Solanum lycopersicum: one gene and its partners. The protein of the gene in region 3 interacts with the protein of the main gene of each other region in a pairwise test. Links are inferred from orthologs where the notes say so. Each region holds a gene or a part of one and is shown on either strand. Other genes may lie near its edges. The genes, in order: heat stress transcription factor C-1; protein PEP-RELATED DEVELOPMENT ARRESTED 1, chloroplastic; E3 ubiquitin-protein ligase BRE1-like 1.

Region 1 (3,923 bases), on a different chromosome or scaffold from region 3:
AACGTTTTACAAGATTTTACATTCTTAACATCATGAAAAAGAATTAAAGTATTTTTATAAAAATACACTCGTTAAAGAACAATTTTAACAATATATTTTGAGATAATATTTTAAAAGTAAAAAAGCTAAAAATTAATTAAACTGTATCGATACCAAGAGTAGTAGTTAATTTGAGAGTTCTAAAACTAAAATAAACTTAAAAAAAAATATTTCAAATGGAGTGAAAAAATTATAATTGTACCAATAAGAAGGTGTAACGTATTAAAAAGTTACATGCCACGTGTCGCTTTTCTGCGGCAAGTGCACGAGAAAATAAAAGTACTTTATTATTATCTGGCCAAAATCTTGTGAAAAATATATTAAAATATAAAAAAAAAATATGAAAACGAATCGGTATTTCCAGCACCGAATCTAAGGCACTGTTTGTAGTTGTCTCTTTGAGTTACACCATTATCAATTTTTCGAAAAATATTGTAAATATCCTTAAATTATATGTAAATTATAAATTATTAACAATCTTGAAAATAATAAGTTTCACGTTTGTATAAGAGTTTGAGATCGTGGCTATGTTCATTTGGTAAGTTGAAGGTGTATTTAAACTTAGTTAGTCAAGTAGATAAATCATCTTATACAGTCAATAGTACGAAAACAAAATTAACAATTCTGATAAAGTGTTTTCGATATTTATTTCTAAAACTTTTGATTTTCTTTTCACTTTTCACTATGTTGTGAGATTCACCTATAATATGCATTACTAATTTTACAGTTTGTCAATCTAAAAATTTATCAGTTCTTAATTTTAATTCATCCTCTCTTGATCCTAGATGTCACAAACATGCAACCTTACAGAAATTCGGTATCCTCGTTGATGTTTGATACAATTTTACGACTCAAGTTCATCACACATTCAACACTGATCCTTAAAACGTTTGTACTAAGTGAACTTATACTCCGAGTCTTATCTAAATTTAATGCCTTATTTAAAAAAAATCCAGCTAAGCAATTTTTCGAATCATCCAATCCTGACTAGAAACGTGGCATTGATTCGAGGGGACCACGTAAGAACACCAAGTCCAAACGCCACGCGCTATAGCCTGCGAGTGGTAAAAAAATGAAAATATCTAAGAATCAGGGTCATGACGTGGACCAATCAAATTAAAAAGACCATCATTGTGGTCCCCTTGTAGCACAACCATAAAAATATCATCTAAGCCTTCAAATAATCTCCACGTACCATATTTGTTATTAATTAATATTAATATTACTTTTTTAGAGGCTACTTGGTAGTCGGAATCGATCTATCTTAGAGCCCTACTAATAATTTTCGTTACAAAAATATTTACAGAATACGACTTTTGAATATATAAATTTTGATCAAATTTGATATCTCTAAAATAATTGTTCTAAAATTATAGTATCGCAAAATTAAAATATATTTTTTTCTAATTAATTCCTCAAAATTTAAAATTATTTTTATTTTTATTTTTAAAAATATGAGAGATTATCTACTATGATGCGCGATGATTTAATATTAATATTAATATACACTCAAACACGAAAAAGAGTTGTCTATATAACCATATCCTTTACATTGACATTCTTCTCTACAACCACCACGACTGCCACTGCCCCTAACCTTCCGCCACCGTGAACCTCCGCCCAGCTCAGTGGAGCTCCACCGCGTTGACATCGGAACGATATATATATATATGGGATGGAGGCTAACAATATTATTGCTCCGTTCGTGATGAAAACTTATCAAATGGTGAATGATCCGAAGATTGATGGACTTATAGCCTGGGGAACAGCTAATAACAGTTTCATAGTTGTTGAACCTTTGGATTTTTCTCAACGAATTTTGCCTGTTTACTTTAAGCACAACAATTTCTCCAGCTTTGTTCGTCAGCTCAATACTTATGTGAGTATATTATGTAACAGATTCATATTCAGAATTGAATATGTTTAGAATTGTTAGTTTTTGAATCTGATATGTGTATTGGATTGGATTTCAGTTGAAATCAATTGATTTAGGTTGAATTTTTCTGGTTTTGATTCGAGTGTCTATGAATCTACAGGGATTCAGAAAAGTGGATCCAGATAAGTGGGAATTTGCAAATGAATGGTTTCTGAGAGGGCAAACGCATTTGTTGAAGAACATAGTGAGGAAAAAGCACAGTAGAAATTCGTGTTCTCAGAAGCAGGATGAGAGTGAAGATGAAGAAATTTTGACTGAAATTTCTAGATTAAAGCAGGAACAAAAAGCATTAGAGCATGAAGTTGAGAATATGACTAGAAGATTAGAAGCTACAGAGAAAAGGCCACAGCAAATGATGGCTTTTTTGTGTAAAGTTGTTGATGATCCTGAGATTCTGCCCAGAATTTTAATGGAGAAAGAGAGATCTAAAAGGCTAAGTTTAACAAATCGTGAGAAGAAACGGAGACTTGTGATTTCGAATTCAACGAGTTGTTCCTCAGTGAAGAGTGAAGATGCACTAGGGGCAACATCGTCATTTCACTCACCCGACGCAAATTTCGATAAGGATGCGATCTGTCAGTCCTCACCGTCGTCGGGAACTCCGCCGCCGCCGACGGCCTGGCTAGGTAGTCGGCCGATGATAACTTATGAGCCAGGTACGATACAGTCGATTCGATCTCCTGACGCGAATTTCGATAAGGATACGTTCTATCAATCCTCGCCGTCGTCGGAAACTCCGTCCACGGCGTGGATGAACCAACAAAAAGTCATCATCGGTGGCCGGCCGATGATGATGATTAATGAAGCCTACGGAAGTTGTCCTACTATGTCTAGTACATTGTCAACTGGCTCATCGGAGAGCGGCGGTTTCACCGCTCCACCGATGGATAACTTTTACGGCTACGACTACGGCGGCGGCGGACGTGGTGGTGGAGGAGGTACTCCAGCGACGGAGGAAGCTAGTACACCGCCTTATCCATTTTCATTATTCGGTGGTGGATTTTAGTTTAGTATAAAAAAAATGATTTATAATTATGTGAGCTATATTCGATTATAGCTTTTGTAATTATTTTAATTCATTTTTTTTTATAATTTTTCCTTTTAATTATGCAAATATTCTACAAATATGTAATCTAAAAAAAAGTGAAACCTCCCAAGTTAACAATTAACTATAGGACTAATAAAAATTAGCTAGGGAATACTGTTTCATTTTTTTTTTTGTAGCTTTGCTTAATAATTTTGCTAACTTTGGCATAATTATGTGTGAAGTTTTTCTTTTTTTAATTATCCTTGTTGTTATTGTTTTTTTTTTCTTTCGAAACATTATGTACGGTTTATTTCTTGATTAACATGTCTTTTTTTTTCGAGTTTTAATTTCGGTGTATGAATGGTTGATAACATATTTCTTATTAAGTAAATAAATTAATCATGTGATAAAATAAGTATGTTTATTAATTATGTGGAATAAGATTAACCAATACATCAAGATGAATTGTAGTGCATCGATGAAAGTGTTTCACCCTTAATAAGAGATTTAGGTTCGATTCGGCGACGGAGGAAGAGTATAGGAAGTGTTAGGACGAAAATAAGCATGTGTAAACGCGAAAGCTAGCAAAGGAAACCTCAAAAGACCAAGAGTAAGAAGACAACGAGAATTATACCAAAAGACACAAAGATTTAACGTGGTTCGGTCAATCGTCCTACGTCCACAAAGGAGATGAGCAATCCACTATAAATATGAGAGTACAACATACAGAGGGAAACAACCTCAACCAAATTCACTTATAATACATGGGAGGTTCACACAAGTAATAACGTGTCAAGCTTGTGACCCACAATTTCTTTCCCTAACCAAAACTCTCAAAGTCATTAAGATTACATTGTGAATGCTGATTAAGTTAGAAGGAACATGTCTCTATTTATAGAGTTCTAAACATTTTCCTAAAAG
Region 2 (4,124 bases), on a different chromosome or scaffold from region 3:
AAACGAGGGAGTATCATTTTTGGCCCTGATAACCAAGTAAGATGGCATCTGTTAAAACTTGACATTACCATGACTTGCCTTTTTTTCTTCATTTTTATAAAAAATTAATATTTCAGTAACTTGAGAACAAAAATAAATAATGAATTCAGCATTGAGCACAAGTTTCTTACAGCTTACATATAACCAGCATCAACACTACAAATTGTCTGACCAAGATGGCTGAACAGAAGTTTTAACATCAATAGATGAAAATATTGATCTAACCATTTTCCAAAATGTGTTACATAATGCACAGTGTGGTGCCTTATGGTCTCTACAAACCAGATGTTCCATACCATGTAAAGTTTGTGGTTTCTAATAACCTGCACCCTAAGGGACCCGCAGCCAAATGAAATTGATGCAAAACAAATTATTTTAGACTTAAATACCAAAAACTGGTTAGTCTCCTGACTATGCATATACATTAAGAGCCTACCTCCAGAATATCATCCGCTTGGTTAGCTATATCATTCAAATTTGCCCCAGGAAGATGGACTTTTGTCCCATTCTCACTTTGAAATACTCCACCACCAGCAGCAACTCGCCTGAGCAATTCATGTCTGCTTTCTTTTTGAGGAGTTCTACAGAGCAGGCCTATGACTTGAACCTAGAAAACATACAAATCCAATTCAATGTCAGATCAAAGACTAGAGCATCAATGCTGCTAATAATGTAGTCATTCAGCATACTAGCATACTCACATGAGGGGGGCACTTCTTGGTAAGATGGGATAATACAGTCTCCTTGATAACTTCCAAGAGTGATTTGCGCTAAAAGAAACAACTTTGTTAATCACATACCCACCCAGAAAACCTCTTGTATCAATGCAGTACTCTACAGGAATCAAATGGACATGAACTGGGCACAAAATGGAAATATATATATAATATATATAAAAAGACTATAATATGGATCAGATATCCAGCTTGATATCTAATCAAATAACATTCAGTCTAGCCAACAATCAAGGAAAATTGATTATAGAGAAGGTTCCCTTTAATGCCTTTAATTCTTTAATTATCGCTTCTTCAACCCGATGCTCTTGGCAACTTTTTCTATCAAGAAATAAATTACCCATACGATGAAAAGGCTAAAATGAGAGAACCTGACTATTTACTAGAGAAATCAGCATCAATAAGCTTCTAAATGAGACACCTATTACTTCATTACATCTTGTACTAGGCAAAAATTACATGAATATCATCAACAACAACTATTTGTTACTAATCCATCTCCAATGGCAGCACACAAATTATCTTACCACAGAAAATGTACCAGATGTGTCGACAGTGAAAACTAATAAATCAATTGCTCATGGCAAAATAATGATAGGTGGGACTATGAAGTATAAACCACGCATACTATGAAATCGAAATATGATTCCACGAACAAAAGAACTGGTTAAGGGAAAATAACAAGGAAAAAAAAAGAAAAAAAAAAGATCAGGAACCTTAATAATACTACCTTATCATCCTGGTCGTTGTCAGCAGTTTGGATCATGTAATCAAGGGCCATCATGAACCCGGACTCCATTTCATCAACTCTTTTCCCAATCACTCCTTGTGCAGCCAATTGCACTGCTACCTCCTCAGATGCTTCATCCATCTTCATATCTTCCAACTGTTTCATAAAATATGTATCCAACAAAGTATATTGACGAGATGAATAACTACTCCAGCTGACATACTGAAGTAACCACATAAGCGACTTGAACGGAAAAAAAAAGGGGGAAAATTCTATCTTTTTATTACTTACATATTTGTATCCATACCATTATCCATTTCAACATCACAAATTAGTATACAGGATAAGCTTCATTTCTAGGGTTACTAGCTATCAAGAATTAAGACCACACCCTTCAGATAACAATACAGAGACTTCATAAAATTCCTAAGAGAAGCACATTCACATGGACTGTGAAATCCTAGTACCTCTGATATTTAACTTGATTAACAATTAAACAGGAACAAATTCAATGAACACCTAAAGGGTTTAGGGTTTAATTTTTCTAGTAATCAAACACACAGAAGAATTGTAGTTTTAAAAGTATATCATCACAAAGACAAATGAAATATAATACAATTAAGGGAAAACATACTAGCTTGGCCATTTCTTCAAGGACGGAGGTAACTTGTTCACCACCTTTAAGAAGAACTTGATACTGAGAAGTATCAAAATCTCCGACTTCATGTCCATGATTTTCCATTCTTCCATTTTGAGCTCCGAATTCCTCCGCCAAAGAACCTGCGCCGACCTCGTTACTCGTACATAATGCCGAAAGGTTCAGTCTGCAGGATGTCTTCAGCTGCAATGAATACTGATTGGGGATTTCCGGTTGAAGAAAATAGTATAGTGATGGAGTCGAGTAACGAGATAGACTTGCAGGAGTAGCTCCACAGAAAACGATAGGGATGGACAGAAATGCCATGGATGAAATGACCAACGACGGAATTACAATCTTTTCTTTTGGGGGGTGGAAATGGAGATATTGCGGGAGAGGGGTAAGATCATTGTTATTATTATGGAAAAGGTCAAAATATTCGTAAACTATTTAAAATAATTCATATTTAAATTAAAATTACCTTTTTAAGAAGATAGCACTAAGTATGTTTGTTTCTAGCCTGCAAGCTTGGCCCAAACTTCAATTCATAGCACTAAGTATGGTTGTTTCTAGCCTGCAAGCTTGGCCCAAACTTCAATTCATACATCAGTTTCTCTTAGTAGTTTGGTACTCTTCAAGCTTCTTATAGGCCAAACTTGTGAAGCTTCACAATGGAGTTGCGAAAATAAAAATATATGAAGTTTTCGAAATGAATACGAGAAATTAGGGGAAAGGGGTGATTAAAATGGTTTCAAATGGAAATAGAAAAATGAGAAGAAGAATTAGGATTAAAATCTTATTATTAGTCTACGTGGAAATGAATGAAATTGGGGAGCTTATATGGTATGTCATGTGGCATTCACCTTTAACAAGTTTCATTAATAAGAAGGATAATTTTGACCCAATAATATTACAAGAAGCATAATTTTGGGCCGAAATATAGTTTAAGAATAAATATAAGTTATTTCGAATAATTTAGAGGAACTTTTGAGCATTTTCCATTATTATTATCACTTGTTTTGTTATATTTGAATAACGTGTCACAACTACAAGCTTATAACTTTTGACATCGTCTTTGTCCTTTTGGTGTGAATCGTGTAATGATATGTAAATCACTTAAAATATATAAATAGTACTATATAAGCACTATGTGATACGCTCGACTCATAAAATATTAAAATGATTAATTCCAAAGTCATCTATACACTACAAACCAAAATCGTCAATATGTAATCTATAAAACAGAAAAAAGGAAATGAAAAATACGTCAATCCACCATCATATGGTTAAAAACCATGACCGTCCATGTCATTTTCACCTTCTCCATTCTAATTGAGTAAATCCCCATCATATTTTTTTTTTTTGAATTAAAAATTCACCTAAATATTTTTGTTTCCTTATAAAAATATTTGATACATCTTTCCTGGTGAGATGGCATATGTATTATTATAATATTCCCTTTTTGTTTACAATATATTTTTTACCTTTTTGAATCATCCATATTTAATGGGGATAATGGTATAGAACGACAAATTAATAATATAAAATAAATATAGTAGTTACCGTTTTGATTTATTTGTGTTTCATAAAAAACTTTTTGTCAGTCACTCTCTCCCTCATATTATCGCTCGCTACTCTCCCTCTCTCGCTCGCTTCCTTTGCTCGCCTCTCTCGCTTTATACAATAGAATTGTATAAATTGTGTATCTAATTGTACAAAGCGAGAGAAAATTGTATATACACATGCAAATACATATATCTCCGTCTTATTCACTTACAATTATAAAATAAAAATACTTTCCTGCCTAAGTCTCTTTTGTCTTTCTCTCTTTCTCGTTTTATACAAATTCAAATTGTATATAATTTCTCTCTTTCTCGTTTTATAAAATTCGACTCAATAGTATATTCTCTGTCCAAGTCTCTTTTGCCTTTCTCCTTTCTCGTTTTATACAACTCAAATTGTATATAATCGTCATATACACTTA
Region 3 (4,245 bases):
CTGCACCCAAGGTTGTGACCTAGTGGTTAATGAAGTGGTTGAGAACCTTGAGGTCTTAGGTTCAAAACTCAGTGGAGACAAAAAACACTAGGTGATTCTTTCCATCTGTCCCAGCCTTCGTCGATAGGTGCGAAAACTGGCCTAGACACCACGGTCATTAAGAAAAAATGATGTAACTAGTTACGAGCTTAAAAAAAATAATAATTCCATTGCAACTTTGTTACTGCATCTAATTTTACAGATTCGGATTTGTTTTCAGTAAACTCATTTAGTTGCTGCTAATTCCATGGCCATCTTTCTTCAGCCATTTTTCTCTTATAAACATTTATTTGGGGAAAAGTACTTAGAATTATACATCTAAACCACAATGAGTGAAAGTAGTTTAACCGTTAAGAAGTTTGGAAAATCTTTTACTGTAAGAATGCTTTCAAGTTTCAACCAAATTGCATGTAACCTCACTGACTACCTCACAACTATAGCAAGGAGCCTGAAGAGTTGGTAGAAGACCTGGCAGTGAACAACACATTATCTCATTACAAGTTCTCAAAGGTCAAAGATGTAGAGTGAAAGAAAAAGTCGAGGTCAGTTGGTGTTCAAAGCACAAATATAGAGTGAGAGCATTAATGAAGAAAGGGTAATAAAAATAAGTAAAAAAAATGTGTATACATATGGTCAAGAGTAATAAGCAGTTTCATCAAAGGTGAAAAGGATAAAAATTATAGTGGGTTTCTAGAGCCAGTGCAGACGAAGTGCTAGCCCCTTAAGAAAGAAAGGCTCTAGATGCAAACAAACAGTTATCTAGACAAAATAATATAAAATATCATATTAGGTGAAATATTTATTCTTTATTGCCAAATCTCTTCAAGAAAACTTATAGGCGAAAAAGCATATGCTTTAGTGCCTTGAGGCCTCAATTGAGGCACGGGCAACTACTTTGCACATAGCCTCAAGGCTTAAGTGTGTGTAAAGCGAGCCTTTGACAATGCTGAAGTCGTGGACATTTACAGCAACTTGTGTTCAATTGATTTCCCCCTTATCTGTGGCGATTATTCTTTTTTTTTTCTTTTTTTTCCATTCAGTCATGGTAGTTCTGGTCTGACTCTACAACTTGGGTTATTTGTTTAATTGTTTTTTTGTTCTTAATTCAGAATGCCTTCTTGTTTTCAACCTTTCTGTATGCATTACATTTTTAAACTTATCCTGTTAGGGTTTTCTTTTCTAGATTTTCATGCACTAATCTGTGTAAATATTTTTCCTCCTTGTAGCTGTTGTTAGATCTTATTTCCATGACCCCAACTTATCTTTGAACAGGGGAGGGTAAACACTTGGCTAATCGGTAGTGGATTGGCCAGTATTACCACTTTTAAAAAATAGCACCTGGTTTGCTTTTCTTAAGCTTTATTTGATTGAATCTCATTGTTATCCATTCTCAGTAAGACTGACAATGAATGTGGCATTAATTTGTCCCGCACTGCTTTGATGCCGGGGAGATTCCAGCATTGTGTTGTGCATTATATGCCTGTTTTATTCTTTTTTTCCCTCATGGTTAAGATGTTTGCAGAATTAGTTCCTTTTATAGGACTACTTTAGACACATTTCTGTAGCTTTACATGGATATGTTGGGTTTTTAGAGTTTCGCATCCACAAATTTCCTTACATCGCTTCAAGAGTACTCCAAAAAACGTTCTGTCTGTGCATTTCTAGTGTCTCAGGTTTCTACTGCTGCCAATGTTGTACACTGTGGTTAGTTTATTTCCTGTTCTACAGCTTGTTTTAGAAGGAGTACGGGCAAGACAACAGCGGGATTGTTTGGCTTGGGAAAGTCAAATCACAGAGAGAGCAGTTGAAGATGCCAATACAATGGTCAGTTCCTATGAAATGAAAGCTGCCAAAATTGATGACCAGGTAATTGCATATCTTCTCTGAAGTGCCAAATGTTTATATTTCTCCAGACTTTAAGTGTATGTATTTCCTTTCAGTTGAGGGGATGCTCAGACTTGATCCAGAAGCTTGCTGAAGATAGGGGTCAGAATTCTCTTGCTTTAGAGAACACCCAAAAACGGTTTTTAGATGTAAGAAAATCTTCCCAGCAATTGCGGGAGACGCTGGAAGAATGGCAATCCAAGATCGACGAAGTTCGAGTTGATCTTGCACAGTTGCAGATAGAACTAGAGAAAGAAAGGTAACTGAAGGTTAACCTTTGTCTGTATACCCATTATGAATTTATCTTAAACCAATACTCTCATATGTTCCTTTATTATATGATCTTCGCTTTACTTGGCTAGGTTTGAGAGAAAAAGAGCAGAGGAGGATGTAGAAGCTCTGAGGAGAAAGACTTCACGTTTGAGATCACACATTGAAGGGTCATCTGTTATTGAGAAGCTTCAGCAAAAACTAAGGGAATACAAGGAAATACTCAATTGTAGTATTTGCTTTGATAGGCGCAAAGAGGTTGGACCGACTGACCTTTCCTTATTTATTTGGTTGATCAGCATCAGTTTGGTGAAGTTGAAAGTACCTATAGAATGTCACATCTGATGTAGGATCCACTGTTGCAAGTTTGTGATTCTGGCAGCAGATGGGATGAAAAGATTGCGTTCTTACTTTAGATTGGTTATTGAGATAATAGTATGGCGATATCCAAGAGATTCTTCAGTTATGAGATCCATGGTTCTGAATTAGGGAACAACCAGTGTCCAGTAGTGAGACCGAATAGTACCTCCTTACCAAAAAAATAGTACATTTAACCAAACATGTGTTAATTTGTTACATGATCTTGTCTGATGTGAATAAGCACAGTGATGCTTACGTCCACCATCTGGTGAGATTCTAAGAGATCCTGACAGCTAACTTGTTACAGTGGTTGGTTTAATTTTTGCCATGGTGGTAATAGAACTAGTATTCTCCAAATATTTTTTTGATAGCGATGGAGTCCAGGTCAGTTTGTTCATACCTCGACTATCCCATCGGTATGCTACTTCCCACTAGAACAGGTACTAGGTAACATTACCTATAAAGATTTATTATTGTTTAGACATGACAAAGATAATGCCTATGTTTTTTTTTTCGGGATTGGTTTGCACCCGCTTCATTGACCACCAGGCCACACCCTTGGGTTCAACTAGTTTTCTCCAAACATGTAATTGTGTCCTTAGTGAGGAAAGAATTTAACTTTGCTAGACTCTTTATCTGATACCTATTTCACTCTGAGAGCTAAGTTTTCTTTATTACATTACAGGTTGTCCTCGCAAAATGTTACCATCTCTTTTGTAATCCGTGTATCCAAAAAATTGTGGAGACTCGTCACCGCAAATGTCCTGTCTGCTCTGCAAGCTTTGGAGCAAATGATGTCAAGGCCGTTTATATCTGATCAGAAACATGAGGATGTCTAGGCCTTTTATTATGTCACTGTTGTGAAGCAAGGTTGTCGTTCACTTATGGTCTATGCATATATTTATGCAGGAAATAACATAAAACAGAAAAAAATTCTGGTGGTTGAAAGTGGATAGTCTGCATGGATTTGCTGGTGCTAGTCCAAAGGTTAATGATTTTGTTAATCTTTTGCTGGTGCGTGTCCAAGGTTGTTGATCTTGTTCATTAACCTTTCCTTTATTTAAGTGGATGCACTTAAGTTCACATCTTTGGTTGCTGAGTTCTATTGTTTATTGCCTTGTTATTAAGTCCCAATCCATTGCCTCAAATAGAGTTTGTTCACCCCGTTGTCGCCCCCTCCATCGCTTCTCCTAGTATATAGGTTTTCCCCCATACTCACTCAATTGCCTGAAAAGGTGAACATAATTTTTTTTTAAACCACAATTTTTAGTTGCTGGTTAGGAAGTAAACTCATGTATTAAAACTAGCATAACTAATACCATGTTCTGTAGCATTTTAGTTGCTATGTATAGAATATAGCACACGAACCAATACATGTATAATTCATGAGGGGGTTTATGCATTATTTTATGCCAAGTAAAAGATGGACCAACTAAGTCTTGCATAATTAGTTCGTACATTACTATTACTACTATCCAAACGACCCCTTATTTCATTATCCTGGGTCTCGAACCCGAGATCTTTGATTATGTCCTGTGTTGCTGTAGCGGTTGTGATTGAGTTTGTTTGTTTCCTCTTAGTTCAACTATAAGGAAGATTTTAAATTTGGGTATTTTTTGGTTACTACCTTGTCGTGCATCTTTGCAAGTGCTCAGTTTGAATGAATAAGCTTGTATCGCGGTGATCACTCCA

The links.
Region 1: the proteins of E3 ubiquitin-protein ligase BRE1-like 1 (region 3) and heat stress transcription factor C-1 interact in binary tests that used the Arabidopsis thaliana proteins (3 or more experiments, as listed by UniProt). The link is inferred for Solanum lycopersicum from reciprocal best matches to the Arabidopsis thaliana genes HUB1 and HSFC1.
Region 2: the proteins of E3 ubiquitin-protein ligase BRE1-like 1 (region 3) and protein PEP-RELATED DEVELOPMENT ARRESTED 1, chloroplastic interact in binary tests that used the Arabidopsis thaliana proteins (3 or more experiments, as listed by UniProt). The link is inferred for Solanum lycopersicum from reciprocal best matches to the Arabidopsis thaliana genes HUB1 and AT5G48470.

The regions. Positions count from the first base shown.
Region 1 is NC_090811.1:1,914,598-1,918,520, forward strand, and holds heat stress transcription factor C-1, read left to right. Parts: upstream 1-1,227; 5' UTR 1,228-1,714; coding exon 1,715-1,918; intron 1,919-2,075; coding exon 2,076-2,981; 3' UTR 2,982-3,349; downstream 3,350-3,923. UniProt on the Arabidopsis thaliana protein: Transcriptional regulator that specifically binds DNA sequence 5'-AGAAnnTTCT-3' known as heat shock promoter elements (HSE).
Region 2 is NC_090808.1:43,952,801-43,956,924, reverse strand, and holds the start of protein PEP-RELATED DEVELOPMENT ARRESTED 1, chloroplastic, read right to left. Parts: upstream 2,931-4,124; 5' UTR 2,468-2,930; coding exon 2,138-2,467; intron 1,660-2,137; coding exon 1,504-1,659; intron 810-1,503; coding exon 741-809; intron 647-740; coding exon 476-646; intron 1-475. UniProt on the Arabidopsis thaliana protein: Plays an essential role in early steps of chloroplast development. May be involved in the redox control of plastid gene expression by maintening the redox state around chloroplast nucleoids.
Region 3 is NC_090810.1:7,003,620-7,007,864, reverse strand, and holds the end of E3 ubiquitin-protein ligase BRE1-like 1, read left to right. Parts: intron 1-1,767; coding exon 1,768-1,905; intron 1,906-1,979; coding exon 1,980-2,182; intron 2,183-2,285; coding exon 2,286-2,451; intron 2,452-3,238; coding exon 3,239-3,370; 3' UTR 3,371-3,636; downstream 3,637-4,245. UniProt on the Arabidopsis thaliana protein: E3 ubiquitin-protein ligase that monoubiquitinates H2B to form H2BK143ub1. H2BK143ub1 gives a specific tag for epigenetic transcriptional activation and is also prerequisite for H3K4me and maybe H3K79me.